Drosophila melanogaster: one gene and its partners. The gene in region 2 interacts genetically with the main gene of each other region. Each region holds a gene or a part of one and is shown on either strand. Other genes may lie near its edges.

What was found. Genes that interact genetically often act in the same process or in processes that back each other up.
Region 1: of kay (region 2) and Rala, changing one suppresses a phenotype caused by changing the other (phenotypic suppression), as found in Drosophila melanogaster (one study listed by BioGRID).
Region 3: of kay (region 2) and Sox21a, changing one suppresses a phenotype caused by changing the other (phenotypic suppression), as found in Drosophila melanogaster (2 studies listed by BioGRID).

What each region holds. Positions count from the first base shown.
Region 1 is NC_004354.4:3,716,611-3,721,236, reverse strand, and holds the start of Rala (Ras-like protein A), read left to right. Parts: upstream 1-1,601; 5' UTR 1,602-1,874; intron 1,875-4,569; exon of another isoform or gene 4,570-4,626.
Region 2 is NT_033777.3:29,787,373-29,794,649, reverse strand, and holds kay (kayak), read right to left. Parts: upstream 5,715-7,277; 5' UTR 4,498-5,714; coding exon 3,796-4,497; intron 3,258-3,795; coding exon 2,930-3,257; intron 2,864-2,929; coding exon 1,626-2,863; 3' UTR 537-1,625; downstream 1-536. Other genes in the region: sro (shroud), read right to left, coding at 1-14. UniProt on the Drosophila melanogaster protein: Developmentally regulated transcription factor AP-1 binds and recognizes the enhancer DNA sequence: 5'-TGA[CG]TCA-3'. May play a role in the function or determination of a particular subset of cells in the developing embryo.
Region 3 is NT_037436.4:14,102,956-14,109,762, forward strand, and holds Sox21a (Sox21a), read right to left. Parts: upstream 5,164-6,807; 5' UTR 4,853-5,163; intron 4,204-4,852; 5' UTR 4,120-4,203; coding exon 3,587-4,119; intron 1,933-3,586; coding exon 1,299-1,932; coding exon of another isoform or gene 1,242-1,298; 3' UTR 526-1,241; downstream 1-525.

The sequences.
Region 1 (4,626 bases), on a different chromosome or scaffold from region 2:
AAACAAGAAATTACCAAATATGTATTGTATTATCAATTGAGTTTCAGTGAAATAATTGTGTGTGCTATAATTGAATGCAAGCAGAGGTTTTGCCAAAACCTGGCCATGTTTAGGTATTTCATTAAAAACACGCTCATAAACTACACTTGTATAATTGAAAAACTTGGCATCCTTTTAAATGCAATACGCTTTTATTGGGAAATTTCTCAATATGATTTAAACAACATTTCAGCCCGCCTAAGGGTTAATGTTCCAAGATGAAATCCCAATAGGTTTTAGTTCGAATCTTTCCCTTTTCCGTCTTCTTCTTGGCGCTTTTGTTGTTGCCCTGCCTGCGCTTTAGAGATCGGCATCTCGAATCTCCAATTGGAGTGAGGTTTTTTGTTATTTTCCTTTTGCACTCGGCGAGAAAATGCAGGGCAAAGAGCGAGTCTGATAGCGGGAAGGAGCAAAATGAACGACCCAACAACTAGCCGTACTAATTGGCATACACACATGCCACGCCTCCAACTGCTCCTAAGTGCACACACACACACACACACACACATACACACATGTGCATAAGTTTTTTTGAATTGTTACCGGTGCCAATTTGTTTTTGCGAGTGTATTTATTTGAATTTACTTTTATTCGCGTGAATATGTGTGAGTGCGAGAGAATTAAATCGCCGGCTGAGATAAAATAAAAGTCACTACAACAATAACAACAATGCTATTCACTCGCCTCTCGCTCGCACACGCTTCGCTTTTCGTTTGCTTTGCTTTGCGTTGCCTTTTTTTTCCGTTGTTTCCCCCCCACCCCTCTCCGTTTTTGCACACAACGCTGCGAGGTTAAGTTTGCGATTTTAGGAATTGTACGATTTCTACGGCTTTTCCGACATCGACATCACATTTAGAGGAACGAGAGGTGTTTACCATGCCATTTGGTGTGGCGAGCATATATCTTCCGCTTCCGATCGGATCGGCGATTGTCTTAAACTTTCAGAGGCTGCAACTATAGCTTTTTGTTGTTCTTTTTTTTTTTTCTTTCGCTTTTGTTTCTTTGGGATTTGGGTTTGTGGCGTGGCACTGTCGGCACGACACTTAAGGGTTAAGGTTAAGGGCCAATCGCCATGATTCCCAAATGTGTTTACTTCGGTTTTCCACAGCCGATTTTTGTCTATTTTCACAGTAAAAAAAATATTCACAATATTCACACGAACGCACACACGCAGAAATGGCCTAAAAATATACTGTAAGTTGGTGTAAAAAAAATACCGAAACGAGTGTGCAAAGAAGCCATCTGGCGGAACGATGAGTGCGCTTAACATGCACAGTTGTGTCTGTTAAAGTAGCAGTTTAGCGGTCACTTGTTACTTAGCGTGTGCACCAACCATAGTTATCGGATACTTAAACCGCTCGCCAGCGAGTGCACAACTCGCTCGCTCGCCTATCGAGTACATCAACCAGCAAAGCGAGTACACCCACCAGCCTTAGCGATCACACCCACCTCAATATAAGACGGAACTTATTGGTATTTTTGTGTTATTCTTAGTGATGCTTGTGCTTGGTATAATTGATCGATGGCAGAGCGGTCACATTGGTGCACCTCTGTGGTATTTTTCCACTTTCACACTAGTTTCTTTCAAGCAAGCAAAACCAACGGAACTTTAATTGCGGTGTGCGGCGAACGAGAAGAGAAACCGAAAAGCAGCCAATTTACTGTTGCGTTCCGATCCTGTTAATTCATCAGTTGCCGATTCTCCGATCGCGCCTGTAACTTTTTTGTTTAGTTTAGTGCATCAAGTGCGAGATAACACAGCAAAGCAACAACAAACGAAGCGACAGGCCAAAGCGGACGCGCAAAATACAATAAAAAGGAAGGAAGAAAACGAAGTACGCAAAAAGGAGGAAAGAGAAGCAAAAGCATTTACAGCTAAAGCATTATAGAGTGATTACGCATATTTCGTATGTTGTTCTTCATGATGTCTGCCGTGTGGAAAGATTCTTTCTTTTTATCTGGGTGTATACACCGATGAAATCCCAGAAAGGAATATACACAGGGGTTTTTTGTTTCATAAACAAAATTTGTAAAAGCCGCCAAAAGGCGCCGCTGCCGGCGTTGCAGTCGACGTCGAAGAAAGTGGATGTGTGTGTGTGTGTGTGTATATGTGTGTGAGCAAAGCAAGAGGTGAAAAAAAAACTCAGCAGTGAAATCTTTCTGCTGCTATTTGCTTTGTTGAATATTTAAATGTAAACTAAATAAAAGGTATTGCGCTTGGCATTTTTGTGTGTGTGCTCCATTCAGCAAAATAAAGGAAAGGAGCGGACTGATGAGCACACGGAGAGCGAGAGATAGAGAGAGAGAGAGAAAGAAAAGGAGAAGGGCGGCGAGAGCCTTTTATCAACGGCTATCAGCAGAAATATTTGTTGCCGCACCCCGCTTGACCTTATTCTCTCTCGCTCTCGCTGCCGCTCTCTCCTGCTTTATCGCCCTCTCTTTTTGCGGGGTGTGCAAGGTGCAGTCGCCGCCCGCATTTTGCGCGTTGACTCATACACACAAACACACACACACAAGCAAGCACGCACACGCCCCCATCGCCCCTTTGCTTTTTAAACTTCTCTTTATCCCAATTCCGCTTTGGGATCTCGTTTACGCCGCTCTAAATAACATTTGCCGAATTTTCCCAAGTATTAGTAATAATTTAACATTATACAAATATTATTTAACCAACAGTTAAATACAGTTGAGTTTTTTTTTAAATGACAAGTTTATTAAGCACATTTCTTCATTAATCACATATTTCGAATTTCTAAGAACCTTCTTTGGCACTCGAAAATTGTCGTTTGAAATGCAAGAAAATTCGCAGAAACGGTGTCTGGTTTTAATCTCTGTTATTTTGTGAGATCGCTTTTGATGGCATTCGCTCTGTGGCGTTATTTTCTCACAGTGACCCGTTTTCCGCTACCATCTTTCCCTTTCCCCATTTCTCATTATCTCCACGAACGTGCCGATTTTCGGGTTCTGTTGCTAATCGGAGAACCATTTTGACATTAGCGTTAGATCATCATGATGGTGATCGTTAGTTAATCCGCTTCAACTTTATGCGCATCTGAATGTTCCATCTTTTTATCCAACACGCCTAAAGCAAATGAGGAAAACTGAAAAACGTGACACAGAAAAATGGTTTTACAGTTTCTAATTAGGCTCAAGTTCAAGATCAATTTGAGTGCCAGCTTGTTTTATATTGAATAATTTCATTTATCTATGACTCACTTAATCGTATGTGTTGACCCCTTTCCCCCTTTCACCAACATTTCCTAATTATTTGTTTGTTTGTTTGGTTGCCAAGGGGCGTTAAAAGCTCTCACCAATTGAACGAAATGCGAACGGGGGGAAGTGAATAGCTGAAGTATGTCAAAAAAAAATGCGTTCTCAGTTCCTTTAAAACTGAGTGCTTAAATAATCAATAACTGCTCTTTGTGTAGTTTGCCTTATTATTTACAAAATGCGAAACCAGTTTTGATTTCAGATCGGTCTGTAGAATATGAGCCATTCATATTCCAGAGAAATTTAATCGTTATCAAAAGTGTAAACAAAATCTTACATTATTTGCAAGATATAGCCGAGCAATTTGTTAGCTGTTTCACCTCTGACCTTTTCAAATATAATTCTCTGGCAGGCGAGAATAGATTAACAATAGAGTTGAAAACACTGACTCATAATCTTCACGATCTTTCGCAGTGACACAGTTTTTGGTATATATGTAGTTTTCTCATCTTTTGTTCGGCATCTCCGGCATGTTTGCTAACTTGGCCAGAAGGGAGAAGATAGCGCAAGTCGGCCAACTTAGCCTAATTTATAGCCATCAAGCTGTGATTTGCTCTAATTTCACTTCTAATGGAGTTTTGTCAAGGGAGACAAATCACGGAAATGGGTTCTATTTCTATGTTTCTTCTAGGCCAAGTCCATTATGGCCAACATTAAAGTTTGTTTTCTACGAATAATAATGTTGGCCTAATGCAAAAGTTATACACACTTGATGATAATTGTCCATAATGGCCAAATATGTCTGCCGAATGTCTTCAAAATACGTTTTATATACCTGATTATCAATGAATTGTGCATTAAATACGTGTAATGACTTTGTTATTTTCCAATTAAATGATTAATCGCCCGTTACCAACGATCTACGATATCCGTTTGTAAAGCATTTAACATTTGAAAATCTTGAGATTTCTTCCAACAAACGATTCTTGACAAAGTCGCGCGCGCAATCACATATTTGTTAGCTGACTTTAGTTTGTTACATCATCGTATCAGCATCTCCAAAGTTCTCTCAACACATTTGCCTTATACAGGTTTTATTTGTTTTATGCCCAGGCTCTCAAGTGTTTCCCCATGGCTTTTGTTGTTGCTCCATCGCATTTCAAGATCTTTTATCACAGCTGACTATGCCTAGGTTTTAATTATGCTCTCCTCGCTTCAGAAAACACTTCCCACGCATTGTTCGTACATATATGTACCTATTTTTCATATACCACTCGGTGTGAAATAAGTTTTTAGTTTTTTTTTTTTTTTTTTTTTTAGGTATCGCTATCTGCAAAGGCAGATCAAACTTGCTCGGCCAAATAAAAACACTTTGTA
Region 2 (7,277 bases):
TGACTGCCGCTCATATCGCCGCTTCTCGAGTAACTGAAACAGAGATCCGCGATTCGTGGCTGCACCGAAAGCAACAGATCCCAAAAAAAACAAAAAAAAATGCAAAATAAGGCAAACCCGAAAATGAATATATGCAGCGTGTGTTGTATGTACATATATACTCGTTTGTGCCATTATCAGACGAGTGGAAGAACACGGCTGCGTTTACCTGCCCTTCAGACTGGTCTTTATGGCAGCAACTAGGTGTTTCTATCTCATAATGTTTTCATAACTTGAATGATCGCATTTTCACATTAGAGCCATTTTCTCAATGAGGTTTACTTCCATAAGTAAGTACTTCAAATCGCTTGAAGAAGTCTGCAGAAATTGAGAATGCAGCCTTTGTTGGTCCACCCTAATCTACCTGATATGTTTACCTGACGACGAGCCAGCCCATTTGCAAGTCATGTGAATCGCTATAACTTCAGAAATAATTCCACAAATCGTCTTTAGGTTTTGTCGGTCTTTTTATTTCTATTTTATTCCATTTCATTTTTAAATTTTGGTGTTTTTCTGCCCTTATAAGTGCATTTATTTGCTATCAATCGGTTTGGTTTTGTATAGATTAAAATTTTGAATATTCTGAGAATTTAGTGTGGAAACTGGCGAGAGTTGCTTTACCTGATCAGCTTTTGTTGAATCGTTTTGGGTTTTTTGATTTAAGGTTGTGGGTAGGTAGATATAGGTATACATAATACATAATTACATATTAAATAATTGCTTTGCTTTTGTCATTTCTTATAAATGGTATTTGAAAATAGCGCAATGTTGCGTTTAGTAAAAATATATTTTGGTTTCTACTGCAGCTTACAGAGTACACAATAAGTATATTTATCTCATTTCACATTTGCTTTTGCTCAATATAAAACTCGCTTCAACGCCATTATTGTTTAGCTTTAAATGTACATGCATACATATATGTATGTAGATCTCTATATATAAAGGTTTGCATTTCTTAATTCTCTCTCAAGGCATTGTATTTAGTTTGTATGCTGAATATATATTCACTTTGTTTTGTTTTATAGTATATTTACGCTTTACGATTCGTTTAAATGTACAATTTTAAAACCGGCTTAGTTCCTTTCATTAGACGCTCCTGTTTGCTTTCTACTTTGTTTCATCCTCGCATCTTTTGTATTCGTTTTATAATAAATATCACAACGCATCCTGCAAATCTACACGCCCTATTATCATCATTATCCTTATCATTCTCATCATGCATCGTCGGTCGTTCGCGTTCGCGTTCGCGTTCTTATATTTTTTGAAAATATACAACGCGCAATGAAGAGGTTTGAAAATTGCACAAATTACAAGTACATAACATATGTACATAGCTCCTCGGCGTATGTAAAAGACATAGCGAAATCATAAATTAACCATAATAAAGATAATAATACAAAAACATTAGAGTTAACGAAACAACACATTCGTCACGTTTACGCATATTACAGCATATTACAAAAATGAAAACATCTCCTACAACTAGAAAAGTGCTTCGCGGTTTCCTTCCGTTGTTTGCCTGCCAACTATATAAAACTTAACTTAATCCTGACTCGGCCCCCATCCCCGTCCCAGATCCGGTCCGGTTATAAGCTGACCAGCTTGGACGGCTCGGCGGTGGGCGTGGGCAGCTCCAGCGGGTGCTTGTTCGTGGAGGAGCTGTTCGGTACGAGGGGTCCGGAGACGGGCGTTAGCCCAGTGCCGCCGTCCATCAGGGAGTCGAAGTTGAAGGTGCCGGTCGAGGGCGTCTGGATGGGCACGCCCTGGATCTGCGTGGGCCCACCCGCCTTGTTGTTGGCCATGGTGAGGTGCATCTGGCCCAGAGGACGCTGGAAAGCCAGCGTATTGGGCCGCTCCTTAGGCACCTTGTTATGCGCATTCAGCGTGGGAGAGTTCATGTTGTTGCCGATGCTGTTGATGTTGTTGATGCTGCTGCCGTTGGAGGTCACCGGGAAGGCGCTGCCGAATCCGCCGGGCGCCGTGCTCGTGATCGGCGTCTGCAGAGATCCCGACGAGGCGCCGGTGGGCGTTAATATCGTGGACAAGTGAACGTGCGGCATCGTGGACATGGGCGGCAAGGTGATGCGCTTGCTGGGCGGCGGACCGTCCTGGTCCAGGCTGGATCCTGAGTCGATGGCGCCATCGAGTGGCTCGTCCTTGATGTGCATCAGCAGGCTATCGATGTTCGCCGCCGGCTTGAGATCCAAGGGTGAATTGCTCCTCCCGGTGGAGTTCAGCGTGGCGTCCATGCCCGTAATCGTGCCGTTGCTGCTGTCGTTGCTGTTGTGGTTGTGATGGCTGCTCGCGCCGCTGCCGCTGCTCCCTGCACTCAGGAGTCCGGCCGGGGCAATCAGACCGTTGCAGGTGACCACGCTCAGCATGTCGGAGCGAATCTTTTGGCAGGTGGCCCGGTGGGTGGCCAGAAGGTACTCCAGCTGATTCTTGCTATTCGTCAGCACCTCGATCTCCTTGCGCATGCTCTCGCCCCGCTTCTCCAGCTGCTCCACCTCCTCGGTGAGCTCGTTGGTCTGGTCCACGCGCCTCTTGCGGCAACGGGCCGCCGCCTGTTTGTTCCGCTCCCGGCGCACGGCCCGCTTCTGCTCCTCCTCCGGGGTCATGTTCGTCGACCGGTTGGGGCGTCTGCCACCGCCACGACGAGCCGGCGTATTTGAGGTATTCGCGTTGCTGCTGCCCACCGACGCCGATCCGCGGCTAGAGCTCACGGCGGCCAGGACATTGGAGAAGTTGTTGACACCGCCGCCGTTCACGCTGCCCGCCATGATGTGGCCAGCTTGGTACGAGGTGCTGTCCGTATGGGCACTTGCTGCAGGCGTATGAAATAAAAGGGAGTTAGTAGACATTCGGAGCAATTCGTGCCAGCTTCACTTACAAGTATCGGTCGTGTCCTGCTCCTCGTTCATCTGCGTATCGTTGTACGAAGCGTTGGAGTCCTCGGACTCGCTGCCCTGCCCCAGGCTCAAATCGAATGTCTGCTGAAGTGGGAGCGACGAAACACCGGTGGGAATACCCATGCCCAGGACATCAATGGCATTGGGTAGCACCTTTGGCACTGCAAATCCCGCGCAACCAGCCACACGATCGGTCTGCGTGTCCGAGAGCAAGTGGCCCAGTGTGTCCTCGATGTTGCGCGTGGTGGTCGGCGTCAACGTGGGCGTCGTCAGTGTGAGAACACTCTGGCCGGTCTCAAAGTTGCCGAGCTGCAAGAGCAGAAAAGGTGCATGATTAGTAAAGACATCTATGAGTGCAAGTATCTGAGAAGATGGATTACTATTAACGCTCATTAAAGCTCATGACAAGCACGAAACCCTCTACAATGCCATATCAGTATACATATATCACGCATACGCAGTGTTGCCCGCGAATAGCTTAAGGATGTTTGGGAATTTATTCTTATCACATGAGTAATTTGGGTCGAGTTCAGATATCAGTCAACATCAAAAGCTATTGCTAAGTCTGTAAGACCTCTTGCTTATCCGTACATTTCTAGCGAATTAGCGAACGTGTTTTTGGCCAAACAAAAAACGAAAAAAAAAGAGGCGAAGAGAGATGAAGAAACCGAAAGAGAGGCGGCCAATCCATCACTTTGTTTATATTTGCCCACCCCTTTGTTGTTCCGCATTTGTTCTATTTTCGGCGATGATTAAGTACGCATGCCGCTTGCCAATTGTTTCGCGCCCAAATCTATCCCAATCTCGACCAGAATCGGAGGCATCATCATCGATCGATCTGTGGTACCTGCTGTAGGAAAAGCTCGTTGGCGAGGAAAGTGGCTATCTCACTGGCGTCCATTGCAAAGTTGTCGCTGTGGTTGTTGTCGCTGCCAGCGGCAGCAGATGTTGCAGTTGTGCTCGTTGTTGCAGCTGCAGTGGTGTTGCATGTTGCAGCTGCAGTGGTGTTGCATGTTGTGGCCGTCAAGGCGAGTTGCGCCTGCCCAGGGGTTTCGGGATTCCAGCCGGAGGCGGAGGACTGGGACTCGGAAGGGTAATGTTGCTGCTGCTGCTGCTGGTAGTAATTAATGGGCATGCAATTGTTGTTGAACTCCAGTTGCTGCTGCTGCTGCTGTTGCTGGTTGAAAAAATTCTGCATTTGGCAGACGGCGGCCATGGCAGCCGCATTGTTGCTGTTGTGACTGCCGCTGCTGGCAGCGTAGGCGCTGCTAGCAACATGGCCATAATTGTTGCTGCTGCTGCGCAGTGGAAAAGCATTGTGGGCAACCGATTGCGATTGCTGGTAGGCTGGCTGCGTGGGCAGTTGCCGTTGCTGATGACGCAACTGTTGCTGCGGCGCTTGCTGTTGCTGCTGCTGCTGCTGCATATGTTGCTGCTGTTGCTGCAGATGATGCTGCTGCTGCTGCTGCTGCTGCTGAGCAAAATGCAGCGATTGGTGGTAGTAGGGATGGTAGCACGCATTGTGCGTCCTACCGTTGAGATTTTTCATCATTTGTTCGCTGCTTATCGATCTAAACCTAAATATTAAGTATACGCACTCGCGTTGCGTATACGCACAGTTGGGCGGCTGACTAGTATTCGTTGGGGTTCTTAGCCTAGCTAAGCTAACACAACAATTGGGACAACAATGATATATGCGAATTGTATTCAAAATCAACAAAAACAATTCAACAATCTAAGAATCTAGTTACTAGCTAAACTAGAGTATATGTACAAATTGGGACTCTGTTCCCAAAGTTTCCTAACAATGTGCTGATGATCCTTTCTTGTCTTTATAATTCCGTTCGTTTGGATGCTCCTATGCTGTTTGTTGTCGCAGTGTTGTTCTAGTTGCTTAGAAATTCGTTCGTTTTTGGCTTTGTTTCATAGCTTCTTTTTTTTGTGTGTATTGTGTATTTCGTTTGCTTTCTGCGTTGGCTCTTTCCTAATAAAGAAAAAGGGTTCGTTTGATTTGACTTCTTGCTAGCTGCGAGCCGTGAGCAGATTTCGTATATGTTCGTTGTTCGATTGCTCAGTTCTTGAAGTTTTGGCTCTCCGGCGGTCTCAGCCGCTTAACGATAAGCGTTTGCTGATTTCGCAAAGGATTGAAACGCACATTCCGCTCGGCGAAAGCGCTCATAATCGACGCAGTTTATCGTAAGTGTGCGAGGCCCAAAATCCAGCGACACGTGTCCAGTTTAAGTCGCTCCACTGTGTGAGCCGCAAATTCGATTATTATATAATTATAGAGATTTACACGGACATGGAGCCTTGAGCTAGTTCAATTAATGCTGCATTTGTTGTATTCAGAAATTCCTCGGCCATGGGCAACGCCTCTCAACACAGCGAGTGTTATGCCTCCCTTTGCGCTTTTATTTCTGGGTTTGGCTATATTTACATATATATATATATATATATGTATATTCGTATGGCATATATATTTCGATCCACGCGCTTGCAGCCGAGAAATGTGCGTTGTTTTGCGTCTATATGTATATATGTACATATAGCCGACTGATTCGTTTTTTTTGCTCCTGATTCGTTTTGGCAATGCACGCGCACCGAAAACCCAACGACAATTGCAGTTTTCCAAATTTATTTTCGTTTCGTTGTTTGAGTTTCGCGTTTCGATTCGATGCGATGCGATTCGAGGAAAAGCGCGCGCGCGATCGCTTTTAATTGTTAGATATTTTCTAAACTTCGATGGTTCGTTGTTCGTTTGCGACTGAATCGCATCAGAATCTCCGGCGAGCGAAATTGGCAACGATCGCGATCGAGAGATCGCCGCAGATGTATGCATATATATGTATATATATACATATCATATATATATTTATATATCTTGAGAACTACTAGAGAACCCGAACCCGCATCCGAATCCGGAGAGCTGTCTGCTGTCTGCTGGGCGTGTGTTGTGCGAGCTGGCTGCTCAAATTAGAAGACAGCCGCTGGGAAATCAAATGATCCTAAACGCTGGCTGCTCTTAATTGAGCGGCTGCCCACACGACGACCACGCTCGCTTTTGCCGCATTCAAAGCGAAATATGTACATTTAGTTAGCTATAGTAGAATGTGGTGGTGGCTTATGTACATATGTATATGCTTCTGCTTCCGATTTGCCGAACTTGCCAGAGGCTCATTCTTCGCTTCCACGGAAAAGCCTTTCAGTTGCCCATAAATCAGGCCCAATGTTTTGGCCAAAAGCGATGATTCCGAGTAAACATAAGCTACATACATATATACACATGTCCGATTCGACAGATGTCCCACGAACAGGTGTGTGCGTGTGGCACATCCACATTAACTATGTTTTCAGTTCAGTTCAGTTCAGTTCAGACCCCCTGTCTCGCCAAGAGCGTTTATTTCCGTCGCCAGCAAGTTGGCCAATACGCTAATTGCTGGCTTTTGTTGTGGGCTAAGAGCAACACACACACACACACATACCAGTTGCACTGGGGCTACATTTTTGAAGTAGTATGCCTTCTTTTCTCTCCGTGCAGCGAGTTCGAGCGGCTTGTGTGCTTATTTATTTGACGATCTTATCGCAGCCGTGTTTCCCAATCCCAAAGGCCGTTCCCTTATTGACAGCAAACAATCGATTTTATTCTTTGTGATATATTTACTTTTTAATTTCGTATGCGAAATTTACTTTCAACTCGGCCGCCTTGGCTGTTTGGCCACCTTTGTTTGGCTGGCTACTTTCGTTTTAACCCACTTTTTTGCCATTTGAACTTGTCCCTCGCGAACATGAACCGCATTTAGCCGATGATGAATCAGTCAATTTGGAAAATGTACGTATGCAAAACAAGTGATGATATAGAATGCTGGCAATCAAGCGCGGCGAATTGAATTGTCTAAATTGCTTGCCAGCCAGCTCGGATGGCGATCTCGATTCTCCTATCGGAACGTTGGACAGAGTCATATCTCCGGACACCGAGTTCACATCTGGGGGTCAATTATGAACCAAATGAAACGAGCAGCGAACATCGAACAGCCAGCAGTGGAGAGTAAAAAAAAAAAAGAAAAAGTAAAACACTGACGTAGCGAAAAGCAACAAATTGCTGACTAATACACGCGACTGCTGCAAATTTGATTTGCGGGCGGTTCAAGCCAAACCAAAGTGGCCCCTAAATAAATGTATGGTGACTGCAACTTACAAAAATATTTCAAAACCTAAAAATTGCCACTTCCCAAAGGAATTCCCTGAAAACTCAAACTTATCAATTGCCTGTAAATCCGCGCTATCATTTTGATTAGACCATCAACTTTGACCTTGGCTCTAATTAGTTCA
Region 3 (6,807 bases), on a different chromosome or scaffold from region 2:
GCTTTTCAGCTGGTTACGATGCTGTCGCGATTGCCCTGTACCGCCAAGCTGTCTATATTCCACCCAACCCACCCAGAGAAAAGTCCAATAATAGTGGTGGTTGCTGCTTTGTTTTGTGCAGTGCCTCAGACAAAAAAGTGCCAATTGTTTTTGGGCCGAGAGTTATTGACACGCCTCGACGGTGAGCGCTTCACAGTTGGCCGCTTAAACAAGTGGGCGTGAAGGAATCCCATTAAGGACGATCGCCACCCTTCCGAAACGGCAGACAATCCTGGCCATCGTCATCCATTCATCCCCGCGGCGTGTCGGCAATTTAAACTAATAATCAACGCATCAGCAAACATTGTCGTTATATTCACAGAAGCCTGTGGCGTTTGGCGGTGACTCCTTACAGATTGCAAGCTATGATTTTCACTCACATGCAAACCAGGTCTCTATAGGGTTCTTCAATCCTAAAACTATTGTTACAATTTTGCCATAAATCCCAATGCCATGCTTTATTCAAGTACACTGTTTAAAAATCGTGGAATTTCACACTATTTTTAATTCGATTTCTGCTCTTTCATTTATCACATTAAAGTATAGTTTTACAATCATATATTACATAAAAGTGGACATGTTCTCGATGCCTTAACAAATCTAATGTACTTTAGATCTAATAAGCCATTTGTTTGGGTTCCAGAAATTGATAACAAAGATTGTGAAATCCTTAAATTAGGTATGAATAAAACCATTTAAAATGTGTTTTAAGCTGATTCAAAGCTGATTAATTCAAAGATTTATCGAAAGAATTGAGTTATTCATATAACAACATATCAATAAAAATATTAAGTGCAGTTTAAGTAATATGTACGAATTCAAATGATGTTGTGAATTTTAATAAAATGTCAAAAAATATATATAAAATATATATATATAAATTATAAGAGACTACTAAGTGTTATTTCTTAGCTAAGATTTTTTAAAATTTCTTTGATTTAAAATGTCTATTGCTTTTCGAGGCCGGACTTAACTTCATTATTTGTCAAAAAATGTCAGTAAATTGAGATTTTGAATGTAGTTTTAAAATTAATCATCTAAAATAGTGAAGCAGCACTAAATCAGAACCAAAAACATAATTATAGTAGCAACTAAAGACGTGCATTAATATTCGTCTAACACTAGGCTCTAACATTAGGACTTTTAACTTTTGGAGAGGAATGGTAAAGTTTACCATCCAAATTCCCTCTGTGGTGCTCATCCTAGACCACGTGTTCCGCGGATGAGGAGGTGCCGGCGCCGAAGCGCAATGGAGTCGGTCAAATGATGTTTGGCGGACTGGCCGCGCTGGCCACTACCGCATTTGGTGAGGACTTCTCTGACTTGACGCATCCGTAGGATGAGATGCCGGTACCGCTGCTGCTGGGCGGGGAGGGTGGAGTTTCCGGACTTATCAGCGGCAGATATCGCCACGGGTGGTAGATGGAGCCGGCGTACATCGCCTGGAGGCGCGCCTGTAGGTCCAGGGCCAACGTGGGATCCAGTGGATAGTGGGCGAGGCCGGGAAAGGCATTCGGCAGGCGGGGCAGCGATAACTCCAGTGGCGAACCAAAACCGTACTTGGCGCTCAAGGTGGCGGCGGCCAGCTGGACATGATGTGGATGAGGATGCGGGTGGTGTGGATGCGATTGATATGGTGACTGGTGCGGATGTCCGTGGAGATGTGGCAGCGACTGACCCAAGGGCGACAACTGGGGCTGCATATCCTTGGGGGAGCCAACTGATCCTGGGCCACTGGGACCGGAGTTACCCGCACCACCAGCGTTGACACCACCGTTGGCACCACCTCCACCGCCGCCACCACCACCACCTGGCACCGGTGACTTGTTGAGCGTCTTGGGCTTGCGACGTGGTCGATACTTGTAGTCGGGATGTTCTTTCATGTGCAGAGCCCTGTAAATTAAATAAATGTTGAAACACTGATCAAAAGATCGAACGATTTAAGCTTTGATGATATCATAAAGTCAGCCATCTCTGGTCGTAAACCCCAAGAGAAGCGGAACCCTTCCATAAACCCCACGCCAGGCAGATACAAAATGCACAAGTTTATATTGTGTATTTAGCGAAGAACCAGCACTCCGATTCCAACTTCGATTCTCTTTCCGATTTCCCAGCTGCAACAATGCGCAATTGTTGACATTTGTTTGACATAACGATAAAACCTGATAAAAGGTGTGTTTGGGTCGCCTCCTCTTGTTTTACTTTCGCTTTTCTTTATTTTGTTTTCCTTTCTTTGGTCAGTTATGGCCTCCTTATCGCGGGTCCCGAAAAAAAATATTGTTTTCCTTATCATCGCGCATTGGCAAATATTTGATCAGAATTTTTGGTTCTTTTCATTCGATATGCTCGCTCGAAAACCCCGAATGGCCATTAGTTTAAGCCCCTTCTGACGAGCCCTGATCATTTATAAATGTCATAAAATGTAAGTAAAATTTAACATTTCCATTTTGGCAGGCCAATCCAATCAATAAAAGGATTATGACAGTGCAAACACAGAGGTTCGTCATCATAAAAGACCGCACTATCTAGGAAGGCATAGAAAAAACGAACTTGTGAGATACGGCATTTCTGGGAATTCCTGTGGTTTAAAAGTGCACTGCAAATTTTGATTCCATTTATACCAATACAACTTATTTAAAAGCTAGTTTTATAAAAAATAAAATAATGTGAGATATCACTTTTGTACTTATTTGTAAAATGCTCGCTTTTGAGTATATTTCTTGTACAAAGAACTCCATTCTAGCGGTATTTTCAGTTAATCCCGATAATTACGTTTATTAAAACTAAGCTCAAACTGAAATTACTCAAACCCTTTCGAAAGGGTACACTGAATGGGTTAAGCACACAAAAAGAAGCAAAATGCAAAATGAATGGAGCATTTCATGCGACGTGTTGCCTCGCTTTTGTGTGACAACTTCAATTGAAATGTTTACCCAAGATATGGCAGTGCCAATGAAATTCTGACTAAGCAGAGCGGACACAATCCCCGACTCCAGAGCTCCGCAATTCAGCAGGAGCTCCTCACAATAGGTAGCCTTTGTCTTAGCTAATCGATCAAATTTTGTGGCCAGACGGCATCTAGTGAGAATGAGCTACCAACTGGGAAAATGGTAACCGAAACCAAGCCAGAATTTCCCATCCAACCTACACCACTCTGCTCCTGCATAAGCCGGCACAGAAAAAAAATGTATATCGTGTGGACTGAATAAAATTGAATAAACAAAGTAATTCTTATATCCAAGAATAGAAAGCGGAGGTAACTACAAAAAATACAAGAACTATGTTTTTCCTAGTTTAAATTAATATAGGATTACTGCAATATGATAATCTGTGATTTTTAACATCAATGGGATCCATATCTTTTTATTTTTTTTAAATATAACTTCGCCCTAATAAACCCTATTAATAATAGACTTGGAAAATTAACTTTTGAATTGAAAGGTAAGGACTTTTCCAGGTAAGAAAATACTCTTATTTCTGTTTACAAATTTAGTACATACATATTTTCTCAGTGCTTTTTAACCAGACCCCAGTGAACAATACTTACCGCAATCGTTTTGCCTCGTCGATGAATGGACGCTTCTGTCCTTCGGTGAGTAATTTCCACTCGGCGCCCAGGCGTTTTGATATTTCAGAATTGTGCATTTTTGGATTGTCCTGGGCCATTTTGCGACGCTGCCCCCGCGACCAGACCATGAAAGCGTTCATTGGTCGCTTAATGTGGTCGTGGCTGTTGTGATGGCTTCCAGTATTCGAATTCGAGTGGCTGGTCGGGGCATTATGGTGGGAGTTGCCATGGTGGTGCGTGTGCTGGTGCATTTTGGGTGCCACCGGAGTGGGGGCCGCTGGCGGAACGGCGAGGTCAGCTGGCGGCATCGGTGGTGGGGTGGTGTTTCCCGATCCAGAGCCTACTCCCACACTCATACCCATGCCCAAGCCACCGACCATGCCCAAACCCAAATTGATGCCGGGCAACTGCGGTGAGAGACTGCTGCTATGGCTGTGATTGCTACTCCCGCTGCTCGTGTAACCATTGCTGTGGCTGTGGCTCCGATGGAGCAGGGCCGAGATGCTCGTCATGATGCCGGGCGCGGAGTCAAGGGACTCCAATGGGGGTGCAGGTGGTAATTATCAGGTGGTAGTGCTGCAGCTGCTCCTCGAGCTCTGAAATGCCAACGGAAATGGTATTCAATAGATATGCCTTGTTAGCTTGGGGACTCTGTCTGCTGCTCCCTGCATGAGTCATTTGATTGGAGCTCTTCGCACTGCGAATAGCTTACCAAAAATATGCACAATGGAACTCCATTTACCCCTTCTAATGTGTGTGTACAGGGGGCTCAAAATGGTGTCCCGGTTTTATGACAAACCAATTTAAATATTTACCAGTAATTCAAATCAGTTTTCAGTATTGAGTATTTGCAAAATTGGGGATTTCCCTTAAATTAATATTATCCAAAATATATTCCTTGAAGAACGTATATTTGCATATTAACAGTACTGCCAAATTCGATTTCAAATGATGAATTAATTAAAGATTGGATTGGAAAATGATATATTTTTTAAAACAGGCTTTTCTAACATTGAAAATTGCAAATATTCATAAAATTCATTATATATTTCATATCCTTATAAATCTTTTGGTTTCTTTTTTAAGAAAATATATTTGTTCGCTTATTTCGCTTTTTTAAAGTGTTTAGTTTTTGGGGAGGAGTGTGCAATAGTTTAATTTAGAGCACAGCTTTTTCTTCATTTCATATTTAAATATTCGAATTGTTTACCTAGGGACCTTTTCTCATCATCATAATTAGCTTACCTGTATTAATTGTCTTTTAATTTCTCCCTAATAAAGTTTAAATTTGGATTCCATCCGATGCGTGACACTTAACTATCTAATTAATTGCACAAGAGTTTACGTTGCGATCGAGTTCTTTTTGTTTATTAATATTACTAGGTTAATTATTGTTGATCGCCATTAGAACTCCTAAAAATACACAAGTGCACTGATATGAATTTTTAACTTATTTTCCAAACAGTTCGAGATTTATAGAGCCTCGAATTTACGAACGTTGAAAGTATTTAAACCGTTAGACTGCCGATTCACCGTTAGCCGAGCGCAGCGCGTCCGTTTCGAGTGCGCGACAATTTAGATTTGAAAACACATTCGAAAACTTGCGACAAAAACGGCAAACAAACGCAACAAAAAGGGGCAAGAGGAAGAACGTGGGTGTTTGTAAGTATGAGGGTGTCTCTGTAGTGGTTGGTCGCTGCTGCGTCGCTGCCGCCCAAAAGGACCGAGTGGGAGCGAGACAAGGCGAGAGATAGTGCAAGGGAGAAGGGTCGCGCAAGTAAGAGAGAGAGAGAGAGAGAGAGAGCGCGCACATTTTGTAGAGTTTTTTACACCTTCGGAGGACGCGTCAACGTGGCGGCTAAGTGATAAAAATTCGCTGCTGCTGCTTTGTATCTTTGTATCTGCGTTTTGTATCTTATTGACAATAGTCTCCGGGTTTGTTTTCGTTTTGTGTGCACGTTTGCATTCTTGTTTACCAAACATTGCTCCTTTTGCTCTTCGCCAGTTGATGATATCTGCATTTTTTATCAAAACCGTAACACAAAAATAATTTTGAAAATTTGAATAGCCCAATAACATATTTCATATTAAGCTACCAATATCAATTTTTATTGTAAATATAAATAGTTTTCTTTGAAAAATTCAAGAAAATTCCGGCTAGTTCTGAGAATTTCGCTGCTATATTTATTTACAAAATATTAAATCATAAATTGGTACGTTTATAAAACACTTTATTATTCAGTTCTGTTTTTCTTCTATGCATTTGTGATCCAAATAAAAGGCATAGTTAAACTACTTTATAGCTCTTCTTAACTATGGAATGAGAACCCATTTTTAAGATGTCAAAAAAATGCCTTGATTAGTTTATTTAAATGGAATACAAAACGGAGTGGCAACAATCAATCGAATGAAAAATACACTTTAGCTTTTGAATCTTATACTACAATTAACCAAATATTGGATACTTACTTATATGCATGGTCTACACTATATGGTTATGGCACTATAATTTCTTACTGTGTATTAGACCGGTGTTTGCTCTCACAATCGATCGGTGGCTTATTTGGTATGTTTGCTGCAAGCTTCGGTATCCGCAAGATTGGCCCTTTTTGTTGGCAGGGTTGGGCCGCTTATTTCAATTGCTCTCCTTGTTTGTCACACACAGGAAATTCTCAATTCTTGTTGTTGCTGTACCAATAACGATTTCTGTATAATTGCAACGATTAGAAGCCCTTGATCCCTTAATAGTACCACCTTTATACATTTGCTAAAATTTCTTATAAATGCCGCTCTTTATAATTGACGGTTTCAATGTTCCGCCAACGGAGCTTCTCCCTTGACGAATACTAAGAAATTAGACAATTTTCCCGGTGTTTACAGTGTAATGTCAATAGAAAAGTGTGTAATATGCTAGGTATAGTACATCCGGAACAATAATTTCCCGATCACAATTAATTTTAATTAAATATGCTTTTGCAATAATATTTAACGATTATTGGGACTATTAGCAACATTTCCACAGTATATACTAAATCTTCAAATTAATTTGACCTAGAAAGTAACAAAAACAACATTTTAAAGATAAATGAATCGTCGCAGTGCTTTTTATTTTAAATTTTTTTTTTAATTTTATTGCGTTCCTTGAAAAGGTTAAGGAATAAAGCAATTAAGGATTTTTGCTCTGCATTCCTTGGCATTTT